2 linked regions of the Macaca fascicularis genome follow. The protein of the gene in region 2 interacts with the protein of the main gene of each other region in a pairwise test. Links are inferred from orthologs where the notes say so. Each region holds a gene or a part of one and is shown on either strand. Other genes may lie near its edges.

Region 1 (6,467 bases), on a different chromosome or scaffold from region 2:
GTAGCATATGCTTTGCTGACACAATTATTTTATGTCCCTAGGTTGGTTATGTGAAGTTTCCTGACTCTTCCCTGCTATTTAGGAAGGGCTTCAGAGACCTGAATACTTAGTAGCCAGTGCAGCAGGGTTTCAGGGTCTGGCCTGGGAGGGTAGAGGAGGGGGAGGGCAGGTTGCAGCTCAAGTAGCTTTAGAGATGCTGAGCCTCTGCTTCTGTCCTGCCCAGGACGCAATGAGCCCCTGAAGAAAGAGCGGCTCAAGTGGAAGAGCGACTACCCCATGACTGACGGGCAGCTGCGGAGCAAACGGGATGAGTTCTGGGACACAGCGCCTGCCTTTGAGGGCCGCAAGGAGATCTGGGATGCCCTCAAGGCCGCCGCCTATGCTGCTGAAGCCAACGACCACGAGCTGGCCCAGGCCATCCTGGATGGAGCCAGCATCACCCTGCCTCATGGTAAGTGGACAGGGCCAGGGCTTTATCCCCGCTGGAACTCGGGGGTCACCAGCACAGTTTGAGGGTGTTGAGGGGTGTGGAGCGGTGGGGCAGGTGGTTACTCACGTGTTCATTCCTTCAAGCAACCCTTACTGAGCATGGACCAGGAGTGGGTACACAAGGAAAATGAGAAAATGAGACACAGTCTGTGCTTGCCTAATGACACGACAGAAAGACATCAACAAACTTGTAAAGCAGTGTCACAAATGCATTTTGGGACCCTAGAACATCCAAGGCACCGACCTTTATTTTATTTTTTATTATTTTTTTTTGAGATGGAGTCTTACTCTGTCGCTTAGGCTGGAGTGCAGTGGTGGGATCTCAGCCCACTGCAACCTTTACCTCCTGAGTTCAAGCAATTCTCCTGCCTCAGCCTCCTGAGTAGCTGGGATTACAGGCATGTGCCACCACGCCTGGCTAATTTTTGTATTTTTAATAGAGACCGGGTTTCACCATGTTGGCCAGGCTGGTCTCAAACTCCTGAGCTCAAGTGATCCACTGGCCTCGACCTCCCAAAGGCACTGACCTTTTATTGGGTCATTATGTGCTGGACACTGATCTAGAAACTTCCACTGCATTAGCTCACATAAGTTCATAGTAGCCTTATGGGGCCATGTAAAGCAGAGGGTAACAGTGGAGCTCTAGAATCACAGAATTGAGTTTCTTTTTTTTTGAGATGGAGTTTCACTCTTGTTGCTCAGGCTGGAATGCAATGGTGCGATCTTGGCTCACTGCAACCTCCGCCTCCCAGGTTCAAGTGATTCTCCTGTCTCAGCCTCCTGAATAGCTGGGTTTACAGGCATGCGCCACCAGGCCGAGCTAATTTTGTATTTTTAGTAGAGACAGGGATTCTCCTTGTTGGTCAGGCTTGTCTTGAACTTCCACCCTCAGGTGATCTGCCCGCCTTGGCCTCCCAAAGTGCTGGGATTACAAGTGGGAACCACTGTGCCTGGTCACAAACCTGGGTTTCAATCTGAATGTTTCCCTTTCCTAACTATGTTGCCTTTAGCAAGGAGCTTCTCAAATTTAGAGCCTGAGTGTCTTACAACTGTAAAGGGGAGATAATTATTAGGATTCAGCAAGATACATATAACATGATTTAGTCCAGTCCCAGCATTTAGTAGGTGCTCAAGAGACAATAAACATATTTCTGCATGCATTACATTTTACCAGTAAGGACACTAAGGCCCATGGAAAGCAGAGCTGTGCTGTTTCATTCATTCCTGTAACCCCAGCATCTGGCACATGTGAAGAAATGAAAAATAATATGCCAGGATGAAAAAGCCAGCACCTGGTGGAGCTGGGATGCCAGCTCAGGTATTCCTGACTCCAGTCCTGTACACCTAGTCATCAGGCTGTCCTAGGGAGATCTGACTGTGGGGTGGCCATGGCAGGTGTATTAGTCTGCTCAGGCTACTGTAACAAAATACCACATGCTGGGTGACTTAATCAAGAGACATTTATTTCCCACAGTTCTGGAGGCCGGGAAATCTGGCATCATGGTGCTGGCCAGTTCAGGTTTTGGTGAAGACTCTCTTGCTGGCTTGCAGGTGGCTGCCTTCTTGCTGTGTCCTCACATGGGGAGTGAGTGGAGAGTGAGATAGTGCTCTAGTGTCTCTACAAGAACTATAAGCCAGGGCAGTGGAGCACACCTGTAGTCTCAGCTGCTCGGGAGGCTGAGGTGGGAGGATTGCATGAGCCCAGGAGTTCGAGATCAACCTAGGCAACATAGGGAGATCTTGTCTCAAAAGAAAAAAAAAAGAACCATCCTTCCGATCAGCAGACCAGAGGGTCAGGGCCCCACCCTATGACCTCATTTAACTTTAAGTATTTCTCTATAGGCCCTGTGTCGAAATACAGTCACACTGGGGGTTAGAGTTTCACTATATGAATTTGGGGGAACCCAAACATTTAATCCATGATAGTGGATCCCCAAGCTGATTCTGACAGCCCTGCCTCTCCTGTAGGCACCCTCTGTGAATGCTACGATGAGCTGGGCAATCGCTACCAGCTGCCCATCTACTGCCTGTCACCGCCCGTGAACCTGCTCCTGGAGCACACGGAGGAGGAGAGCCTGGAGCCCCCCGAGCCCCCACCCAGCGTGCGCCGTGAGTTCCCGCTGAAGGTGCGCCTGTCCACAGGCAAGGACGTGAGGCTCAGCGCCAGCCTGCCCGACACGGTGGGGCAGCTCAAGAGGCAGCTGCATGCCCAGGAGGGCATCGAGCCATCGTGGCAGCGGTGGTTCTTCTCCGGGAAGCTGCTCACAGACCGCACACGGCTCCAGGAGACCAAGATCCAGAAAGATTTTGTCATCCAGGTCATCATCAACCAGCCCCCACCACCCCAGGACTGATGGGCCCACGGACCCCTGGGAAGAGGCCCCGCCTGGAGCACTAGGCCTCTGCCCTGCTGCTGCCTTCCAGTACTGTCATTTTCTGCAGGGGCCCTCCCCTCAGTTTGGCTGATGGGCGAGCTGTGAAGGGACCCTGCCTTTCAGGGCACTACGTGCCACCAGTTCCCGGTACCCAGGGAGCAGGCGGCCACACACAGGCCTTGCAACCTTGTCAGAGAACAGGCGAATGGGGCCCTCACCCTGCCTCTCTCCCGCAGCAGGTTCGAGCCACAAGGGCCAGCCAGGAGGCCCCTGGAGCCCAGATCTGTCATCTGGTGCTGCCAGCTGTGCTCACTCCGGTTTTCTGCTCAGGGTCTGAAGCAGCTGCTGTCTCCCTCCTCTGCCCCCATCCCCTGGCTCTCCCCTGGGCACAGTGCCACTCTTGGAAGGGAGGGAACCACCCGTGAGCCCCAGGGCTCGGGAAGCCTGAGGCGGGCCTCTGCCTCTCTCTGCCCCCAGCACAATTGGCAGAGATGAGGCGGGTGGTGGACGGCTGGGCTGTCGTGGCAGGGTCTGCACAGGGCCATGTTCTGGCTATAACCCAGGCAGTGGGAGGTCTGCAGCCTTGTCGTGGCCCCCACAGCAGGTCCCTGTGGACAGACATATCTGCATATTTATCAATAAAGCCTTTTGCTCCTTCTCGCTTGCCTGGCATTTGACTGAGTTCTCCTGCAGCCCTGTGGGGCTCCTGGAGCTGTTCTGGTATGGGAACAGGTGGATGCCTGGCCTCCCCAGCTGCTCTGGGCATGCCATCTCCAGCAGAGTGAGCCTGGAACTGCCAGTCTTCTGGGCCCTGATCCCAGCTCCCCTGGCGTCCTCATGAGTCCTCAGGAAAAGCCACTTAACCTCTGAACCCTCTTTGCTTTTCTTTAAAGCAGAGCCATGCTACCTGCCCTGCCTCCTCCATCAGTTGCTGGGAGGATTACGCAGGAAGACAGATGTGAAAGTGCTTGCAAGGCGAAGACAGCACCTCAGGAAGGTGGTCTGCTCCTGCGGCGGGGCTCGTTTCCGGCCCTTGGAGACGCTGTACCCATCGTGATGTTAAAGCAAAATCTCTGACAGATTTAGATCATGTGTCAGAGGTTTGTGTCAGATTCCCAGCAAGGGAACCGGAGAGGAAAAGGAACCAGTTCCTCATGCTTCCTAGGGGAATGTGTGCGTATCTGAAGAGAGGGGAATCTTATATAAGGCTATTTAGCTAAGAGCAGCCACCAGCCAGGTGAGCCTTACAGAAGCACAGGGCCGGGTGTCTGCAGTTCCCTAGCAGGTTAACCTGAGTCACAGTGAGCTCAGTGGAACTGAGCAAGTACAGATCTGATTTTGCTCCAGTTGGGAGTATTTTTCCTTCTCAGTGAGCATGGGCAGCCTCCTGGCCAGGGAAGTCTAGTACTGTCTGGGCCTGGCAAGGAAACCCTGGGAGGGCAGGAGGATCCAGAGTAGCTGCTGCTCCTTGCCAGCTGGGCTTAGTGCTTTCCGGAGACCCCTCTGTTGAAGCAAGACTCTGTAAGCCCTGCAGAGGTTCCCTGAGCACTTACCAAGGGAGGAGACAGATTTGATAAGGTTTGTTCGTGACTAAAAGTCACCCAGCCAAATGCAGTGGTGCTTAACTGGGGAGCATGTGGGACCCCGGAGAGCCTAAGGGCAGCGTGAGCTGTGATCAAAGAGGGAGACAACTGCCCTTCCTGCTACCACGGCCCTGGGCTGGACAAGTAGAGTGTGATCCTCCTCACAGCCAGCAGGGCCTGTCTGCAGGACAGCCTGGGAGTACAGAACTGTCCTGGGTCCCCACGTTTGGTTTTCAGGCCCTCTTCCTGGAGCTGGCTGAGCAGGGTTTCCAGGCATCCAGCAGGGGGCACTGTCATCTGGGCTGGAGCATGCAGCCGGCAGGTCCCTTGTGCAGCCCAGCTGCCTTGGCTAAGGCCCAGCCAGGCCCAAGCGCTCAGGACAGAGGCTGGAGAGGCTCCTTCCTGCAGCCCTGCTCTTGGGACACGGTGCCCTCCAGCTCTAGTAGGCCAGGAGTTGGCGGGGCAACTGGCCTTGTTCCCTGGCCCTGGCTCCCCCTGCTCCCTGGGGCTGCCCGAGGTGAAGGTGACAGGTGGGGGAGGCAGGTGGAGAATTGGGCCAGTGAGCTCATGGCAAAGGCGCCCAGCTGGGCAGGGGTGGGTGCTCTGGCCTATAAAGCCCCCGAGGCGCTGTGGCCTGCAGAGGCGGTTATGGACGGCACCATGGAGGACTCCGAAGCGGTGCAGAAGGCGACGGCGCTCATCGAGCAGCGGCTGGCACAGGAGGAGGAGAATGAGGTGCGGGCAGGGGTGGAGGTGCCCAAGGGAGTCTGAGGAGATCCAGCGCTGCTGTCAAGGGGAGGGAGAGCCTGTCTGCTACACCTGTGGTGGGGAGGGGGGTAGATGTCCCCAGGGGCCCAGTTGGGCCTCATTCCTGTCTCAGGGTATTACTGGCAGAGGGTATTGCTGGCAGCAGAAGACTGAGGCTTCAGCCTCCAAAACCGAGTCAGTGGGGTGGGAACCTGGGCTGGGCCTCCTAAGAGTGCTCACCCTCCTGGGCCTTGAGAGACAGTGGCTGTACAAAGCAGACAGCTGGGTACTCCCTGGGACTGTCAGGAATGTGTGGCCCTGTGATGCTCCAGTGATAGACTGGAAGGCTGGGGCAGGGGAAACTCCAGTGTCTGGCCACTGAAGAAGAGAGTGAGGAACAGTGAGGAAGGGATGCTGGGAAAGGAAGCATGGATTTTGCCAGCCTGCTGGCCACCCTTGGGGGGACCTTTGGAATGTGGTGTTCTGGGCAATTGCATTTTCTCTGGGATAAGGAAGTGGAGCAGTGGCAGGGGGTGCTGGCTTGTACTAGTCTTCATTCTTTTTTTGAGACGGGGTCTCCCTCTGTCGCCCAGGCTGGAGTGCAATGGCACAATCTTGACTCACTGCAACTTTTTCCTCCTGGGTTCAAGCGATTCTCCTGCCTCAGCCTCCTGAGTAGCTGGGATTACAGGCATGCACCACTATTTTTTGTATTTTTAGTAGAGATGGAGTTTCACTATGTTGGTCAGGCTGGTCTCGAACTCCTGGCCTCGGGTGATCTACCCGCCTCGGCCTCCCAAAGTGCTGGGATTATAGGTGTGAGCCACCGTGCCTGGCCCCTACTCTTCATTTTATTTAAACTAATACTTCATCTAGTGTCGGCTGTGCCAAGAGTCCAGAGCTGTAGAAATGGGTGGACCAATAAGGCCCAGACCATGCCTTCTTTTTACCAACCCAGCATTCATTTTAGCCCACTTGTCGGTTTCATAGTCAACTAAAAAACAAGGCAAAGGGAAGAAATGACTAAATAGAGGTGTGAATCAGAAGTGGAGGAACACAAGGGGCTCATGAATTGTTCTGAGGGCCTTCAAGGACTCCTTTGTGGACAGGGCCAGGTGCAGTGGCTCAAGCCTGTAATCCCAGCATTTTGAGATCTGAGATTCGAGGTGGGTGGATCACTTGAAGTCAGGAGTTCGAGACCAGCCCAGCCAACATAGTGAAACCCCGTCTCTACTAAAAATATAAAAATTAGCCAGGAATGGTGTCAGGCACC
Region 2 (7,799 bases):
GAGGGAGAATTGGAATAAAACTGAAAGCTGCAAGGCCAGTTAGGAGACTGTCACACTAGTGGCTTGGAGTAGGAAGGAAGGTAGATGAATCCAAGGTGTATTCTAGGCAGAACCAACATGCTATAGTGCTAGAAGGGATGGAAAGGGGATTGCTGAGGAGGGGCATTAAGAATGACACTAAAGTTTCTGGCTCAGAAAATTCACCTGAGTTAATTGCATTGGTAGCAGACAAAATTAAGTTAATCTACATACTTAATTGGCACTTATTCATTCAATGATTATTAGGTACCAACCAGGTGCCAGGCACTGCTCTAAGTGCTAGGAATTCAGCAGTGAATAAAGTCTCTGCCCTCAAGGGACTGACATTCTACAGAGAGAAGTCAGAAAATGCACAATCACACATTAAGTAATGAAAAGAAAAATAAAGGCCGGGCGCGGTGGCTCAAGCCTGTAATCCCAGCACTTTGGGAGGCCGAGACGGGCGGATCACGAGGTCAGGAGATCGAGACCATCCTGGCTAATATGGTGAAACCCCGTCTCTACTAAAAATACAAAAAACTAGCCGGGCGAGGTGGTGGGCGCCTGTAGTCCCAGCTACTCGGGAGGCTGAGGCAGGAGAATGGCGTAAACCCGGGAGGCGGAGCTTGCAGTGAGCTGAGATCCGGCCACTGCACTCCAGCCTGGGCGACAAAGCGAGACTCCGTCTCAAAAAAAAAAAAAAAAAAAAAAGAAAAATAAAATAAGACAGAGAGTAATAGGGGATGGCAGTGCTATTTTAAAAAGAGTGGCATGGGAAGACCTCTCTGGTATTGTAACATCTGAGCAGACTAGAAAAGTGGCACAGTGAGCCATACGGATATTGCACATTAAAAATATTTTCAGAAAACACAAAACTCTGGGATGAAGCAGTCAAACAAAACATTATTGAAGACTCAGCCATCACTAGCCAGCCGATGAAAGTGAAGGTTAAAGAATTTGCCCAGTCTTTTGGAAGAAAGCACAGAATTTCAGATTTTAGAGCAAGGGGAGGTTGGGCATGAATGACTCACACATGACAGACCAATGACTTTCAGAGCTACTAACAGAAGCCAATCCAAATTTTCTAGATGACTTTGAAGTTGTTAAAATTCCACTGATAACATCATTCAATGAAAGGAAAATGTGTAAGTTAAATAGGAAATCGAGACAAAACTCTCAACGTCTCTAAATTATTTTTTCATCACAGCATGGGTTAAGACAATTAGCCTGTCACTACAGTGCTCTGCCTAAGAGTCAAGGCTCAAAAATGATTCAGAACACTCTTTAGGCTCTAAATTTGAAGGAGACTTAGGAAAGAAAGAAAAAAAAAACCCCCTAGGATACTGAAGAGATGAAATGCAATCCTACGTATGAATATAATCTATGGTCAGTTAATCGAGGGGAAAAACATACATATACATAGTATATATGCACACATGTATATGCATATAGCACATATACAGTATGTGTGTGTGTGTGTCTATGAGTGTGTATGTATAGGACTCAGTTTTTTCACCCCCAAAGCATTTAAATCTGTCAGGTAACTTGTAAATAACAGCTTTCGCAATCAAGATCCACAATATCCCAAAGAGCAGCTGCTCCTTCAGCCAGCTCCTGGAAGTAAGAGAATATGGAACAACTCACCTACAATGTATTAATAGATCAATATGAATAACAAAAAAAAATCCTCGGGTGTTGCAAGCCACTAAGGCTTTGGGGTAAACTGTTACAGCAGTTTAGTCTAGTTGACTGATACAGAAAGACACCAAGTCTTGGCTCCAGAAAAGCCTAGCTGGTCCTTCCCACTCATTCTGCCCCAGTTCAGGCCCTCACTTCCCATCTCTACTTCTGCACCTGCCGCTACCTTATAGCCCACACTCACATTAATCCATACCCAGTCTTGAGTAATCTTTCTAAACTACAGATGTGACAGCCATTTCCCTGATTATCAGAAATTATGGCTCCCCAGCTGTACTTCTCGTTTTTACTGAAAACAGACAGGCAGGCACATGAGCAAGGATCTTAGATATCACGACAAAGCCGGAAACAGCTTCTGTGATTTTTCTGTGCTCAGGTACTTGATTTTTAAAATGCCTATTTTACACATTAATCCAAAACGTGTATCTGAGCTTATTACGATCATATTTTTACGAAATTAGATGTAGTAATTCTGGAAACTGTACCATGCCTACGCTATGGCTCTGAGCATCCACTAGCACTCTGTGAGAAAACATGCCAGGGTGAAGAAACCTCACTCAAGTACAGGTTTATGAAGATCAACTAATTCCTTAACGAAGATCTCTTGGCCCCGCCTGCCAGTTTCACTCTGTCTCCCACAACCCCCTCCAGGCTCCTTAACATCCAGCTCACTGGCCGTCTCCCCAGTGCTGGAACTCAAAAGGCTTTTGCTCACTTTGATCCTTATGCCTTATATGTCTTCATTCATTTCTACTTTTCAGGCCCAGGTAAGTCACCTGCTCTGAATTCACACACTTCCCTACTAAGAGTTGACTCCCTCCTCAGGGCTCCCACATGATATCCACACACTCTATATCGCAATTCCTTGTTTCCATTTCTGTCCCACACCTTCGTCCCATCCATGTCTCACCTTTATGTTCCTAGTGCCTTGGATAAGATATGAAGCACGTTACATTCCCACTGGTTGACTAAACACACTTCTGCTGCTGAAAAGCAGGGGCTTGGCCCAGAGGATAGCCGAAAAGTTTTTCTCTTCAGAACTGAGTGTTCCGTCAGCTCATCTCCACAGCACCTTCCAGAAATAATTCTCCCTCAGTTAAAGGCTTACCAAGAGCCTTTAACTACAAGCAGTTCAACCCCATTTGATGACACTCAGTGAAGAACATCCATTTCAAAAAGATTGATTTATGATTCTTTTATTAACACACACAGGAGGGGCTTTGGTCATGTGAACAAAAAATTTATTTTTTAAAAAAGGCTTTTTAGGTCTTTGTTTTTCAAGGCAAATTAATACTTACTATACGTTTGACTTTGACCTCCAATCTGACAGGTCTACTACCCTGATGAACTGGAAGAGACTTTCCAGGCCCTGATAATGTCTTTTCCTTTCTCTGGCCTCTTAAAGCTCTTTGTAGACTGTCTCTTCGATGCCATTCTCTGATGCCCCTGTAATGTGTGAGGGTATTACGACAGTTCCTAATCAAACTGCCTTGTCATAAAAGGTCAGCTATGTGGTCTAAATCAACTCACCTGACAGGTTACACAATATATATCAGACAATGTGCCACAAAACATAGCTCTCCTCTTTCATCTCACAGAGGAACTAAAGTTCCAAAATATATACAAAACCACCTTCCATCTCCAACTGTCTTCTCGTTCTTCCCAGCTTTATGCAAAGCAGTCTCATTAATACATTCTTCACCAGGCTCAACCAGGCAGCGTAGTATCTTCCACTGCACCTCTAAAGTTGGAAGATTCTGATCCCAAGTCTTGACGTGTTCCAAAAAACGATCAGGTCACAAAGGTAACAGCAAAATACAAGGCCATGCCCAACATTTCAAAAACACAGCGAAGTAACAAGAATAAACGTGACCACGAAAACAACTTAATTAAGCCCCATTTCTCTTGTGAAAGTATTTCTTCGACAAAAGTTGTATTTCCAGAACCAAACACATTTGATGATCTAAATCCATATCGAGGTCATCAATCACTGACCATAAGGGAGACTGTTACATGGGGGTAAAAAACATACAAAAACAAAACAGAGAAAATGACAAGCTGTTTCAGTTTCCTCAAGGTGTCAGTTCATCCTTACCAGTTGACTACAGTCCTCAGCTGTGAACCTAAAGCACAATTGGGAGAAATTTACCATGAAGACATTGACTCTCAAAGTTCCATATCTTGATGTTAAAAATAAATGTGAACCACCCAGAAGAATGCCACTTCTTTGAGACACGGTCCTCTGACATACCTGTCTCATAGAACAGTCTGGAAATTTCAGGTAATGGCCTCTGGCTTTACTCTTTTATTTCTTTCCCTGCGTTCTCAGCCTGCGTTCCATTGTGCTCCACAGCCTAGGTCTTCTGTGGCTTTCCCCAAACTCCCTTAGTGCCGAGACAGGTCTACTTCCTGGCGACTGCCCTATTAGAACTGACTTACGTTTCACAAAAACAAACCCGAAGTTACTTTTATTTTTCTCTAATTACCAGTGTGGGAGGGCGAGGCCACAAAAAAACGGTATACTAACACCTAACAAAACCAGCACGCATTCTTTCCTCTTGACCCCAACTTTGTTCCCAATGCTCAATTTTTGATGCGATAAAATGGGGGATGCAGGCCTAGAACATAACTTTTTACAGGGCGCGGTTTAACCATGCTTAGGGGGACTACTGAGTTCCATCCAAGCTCCCGCGAGTTTCCGACCTTACCGCCGATCTCCTCCTTCAAGAAGACTCGCTTCTCTCTATTCGCCAGACGAGCTCGACCAGCATCTCTGCCATCTTCGCAATCTCCTTGGCCTTCTCCTCAGCCTTCTCGCACAACTCCGACACTCTCTCGTCGGCTTCGCCACTCGGGTGCTGCACGTGATTGAGGGCGCTCTCCTCCGAGGCCTCTACCTGCGTTTTGATCTGGATGAGCATATTGTCCATCTCCCACAGCTTGCTCCTGGTTCGCAGGTACGCCCGCCCGTGCTCGCGTATAAGAGACGCGATGTCCTCGCGCATCTCGTTGATGACCGGGAGCAGGAACTGCTCGAAGTCCTCCTCCGGCTCCAGCACCTCCACTTCCTCAGGCGCTTCCACCTCGTCTATGTCCAGGGGCCGCATCTCCTCCTGCCGCTTCTTCAGTACCGGAGGGGCGTTCTTCTTACCGGAACCCCCCAGGGACTGGAGATCAGCAGTGATTGCTGGAGGCTGAGCCCACACGCTTTGTCAATAGTACTCCCGAATTATCTTTACTTTTTTTCTTCCTTTTAATTGTAAGCCTTTAGCTTTAGAACTCCGTGGGAAGAATCGCCGTGGATACACACAGCAAAGCGACCTGCGAAATGGAGTCGCAGCCGTCAACTCGCCCTCGGCCTTTTTGCGGCCCTTTCACGACAGAGCCGGGCTCCTTTACGGTCACGCCTTCGGCGAGACCCAGTAGCGGGCGCGCGCACGTAAAGGGGTCTCGGGCGCGCGCATGGCTATCCCCGTCAGCTTCCCGGCGCCCCGCCTCGCCCTCTTCTCTAATTTAGATTGGTGGCGGCAGGTTTGTTCGCGTCTTCCCCTAAAGCTTCCCTTCAGAGGGGTTTTACTTTTATTATTATTTTTTTAAAGTAAAAATGACCCTCCCTTCCCCATATTTGAATAAGACTGGCTGGCGTTCACAGCGCTTACTATCTAAGCATGCAGAAGCTTGGATTAATTTATATGAATTCACTTAGCCCTCACAACGAACCTATAAGAGAAGTAAAAACCGGGCTAAAAGTCGTGATTTGAGCTCAAAGCAATGTGGGTCCACAGTCCCTGCTCAGTGTTCTAGAATGGAACTCGTCCCTCTGTCCTCCCCACCCCTGGCTCATACTTTTGTTCTGGGGGGAATTTCGCTCGCTGCCTTGGGTGGTTCTGGCCCGTGATTTTTGGTCTCTCTTCAGAGTCTGTAAGGTCCTCAAGGTAAAGGGCAACTTCTGTTTCAGTTCTGTCCTCCGCCCTTTCCGTCAGCCTGGCGTCAAGCAGGGCCTTAGAGAATGCTTTAGAGAGAGGAATTGCCTAGTACCTAAGTGCCTCTACCAGACTGGAGGCTGTTTGGGGACAGGTTCTGGTCTTGGTCACCTTTATGTCCCTCCACACACAAGACCTGAAAATGAGCAGGGACCTAGTAAATGTGGCTTTGATCGTCAATACGTTTTGATCACCAACCTAATGCCATTGTGGAATGGAAGAAGTCTATTGCTAGGCTTAGTCACCCAGTGCCACACTAGTAGTAATATGAGTGTGTGTAGAGGGGGGATCCTTCTTACACAAGTGCCACAGATCAGAACTTCAGTTTTCCAGTCTGATAAAGACCAATGGCCCCAGCCTGAATATCTGTCAGTGGGAAGAGGGATTTGTAAGATGACGTGTGCGAAACAGTTTTGCAAACACCAACATTCCAGCAGATGTTCATCAAAAGAACATTAAGAGGGAAAGAGCAAGGCACCGTGAAAAAAGATATTTGACTCATGCAGAATATATTGAGAACTCCTATAGATCAAGAAGGAAAAGACAAAATTTTAAAACAGGCAAAAGACATAGGCTGGCACTTCACAAAAGAGAATATCCGAATGGCCAATAAGTATATGAAGAGGTTTTCAACTTCATGATTCAACAGGGAAATGCAGATTAGAAAGCACAACGAGGAAGCACTGTACATCCACTAGAATTACTAAAATTGAAAATACTGACAATACCAAGTATTGGGGAAGATGTGGAACAACTGGAACTCTTATACATTCTTGATGGATGTCTTAGTCTAGTCTGAACACCATAACAAAATACTATAGACTGGGTGGCTTAAACACAGACATTTATCTTCTCACAGTTCTAGAGGCCAGAAGTCCATGATTAACGTGCCAGCAAATCTGGTTTCTGGAGGTGAGGGCTCTCTTCCTGAATTGCAGATGGCCGCCTTCCTGCTGCAGTCCTCACATGATCTCTTCTTTGTGCATGCAGTGTTGTGGGGTACAGGAAGGAGTGCTCTCTTGTGTCTCTTCTTATAAGAACATGAAGCTATAGGATCATGCCCCCACTTGTATGACCTTACTTACTGCTTTACTCCAAGTATAGCCACACTGGGGGTTAGGGCTTCAACATAAAAATATTGGGGGACACATATATTCAGCCCATAAAAATGGGAATGTAAGTTGTTACAATAATTTTGGAAAACTATTTGGCAGTATCTACCGAGATTAAACATATACCAATCCTATGTTCTAGCAAATTGACACCTTGTTATACACTTAAGAGAGTTTGAATGCAATTGTTTATAAAAATACATATACAAGAATATTCACAGCAGCTTTATTATAATAGCCCCAAAGTTAAAACAAACCAAATGTTCATCAACAGGAGAATAAATAAATAAAATGAATAAATGGTAGCATATTCCTTCAATAGTTTATTACTGCATAACCAGTTACCCCAACATTTAGCAGCTGTAAAATATTTATTATCTGTCATAGTGCATTTAGGCTGCTCTAACAAAATACCATAAGGTGGCCAGCTTCTCACAGTTCTGGTGAATGGGAAGTCCAAGATCAAAGTGCTAGTAGATTCTGTCTGGTGAGAACTAGTATTTTGGTTCATAAATGGTTCCTTCTTGCTGTGACCTCAGAGGATGGAAGGAGCAAGGGGTCTCTCTTATACGTCTTTTGTTTTGTTTTGTTTTGGAGATGGAGTTTCACTCTTGTCGCCCAGGCTGGAGTGCAATGATGCAGTCTCTGCTCACTGAAACCTCTGCCTCCAGGGTTCAAGCGATTCTCCTGCCTCAGCCTCCTAAGTAGCTGGGATTACAGGTGCCTGCCACCATGCCTGGCTAATTTTTGTATTATTAGTAGAGATGGGGTTTCACCATGTTGGCCAAGCTTGTCTCAAACTCCTGACCTCAGGTGATCCACCTGCCCCAGCCTTCCAAAGTGCTGGGATTACAGGCGTGAGCTGCCGCACCCAGCCCTCTTATACTACTTATAGACAGAGTCTTGCTCTTTTTGCACAGGCTAAAGTGCAGTGGAATGAGCATAGCTCACTGCCTCAAACTCCTGAGCTCAAGTGATCCTCTAGCCT

What was found.
Region 1: the proteins of MRFAP1L1 (region 2) and UBTD1 interact in binary tests that used the Homo sapiens proteins (3 or more experiments, as listed by UniProt). The two-hybrid records come from large-scale screens. The link is inferred for Macaca fascicularis from reciprocal best matches to the Homo sapiens genes MRFAP1L1 and UBTD1.

Annotation. Positions count from the first base shown.
Region 1 is NC_088383.1:106,511,841-106,518,307, forward strand, and holds the end of UBTD1 (ubiquitin domain-containing protein 1), read left to right. Parts: intron 1-223; coding exon 224-451; intron 452-2,457; coding exon 2,458-2,843; 3' UTR 2,844-3,524; downstream 3,525-6,467. Other genes in the region: ANKRD2 (ankyrin repeat domain-containing protein 2), read left to right, coding at 4,499-5,182. UniProt on the Homo sapiens protein: May be involved in the regulation of cellular senescence through a positive feedback loop with TP53. Is a TP53 downstream target gene that increases the stability of TP53 protein by promoting the ubiquitination and degradation of MDM2.
Region 2 is NC_088379.1:6,382,491-6,390,289, reverse strand, and holds MRFAP1L1 (MORF4 family-associated protein 1-like 1), read right to left. Parts: upstream 5,067-7,799; 5' UTR 4,824-5,066; coding exon 4,440-4,823; 3' UTR 4,425-4,439; intron 3,840-4,424; 3' UTR 2,897-3,839; downstream 1-2,896.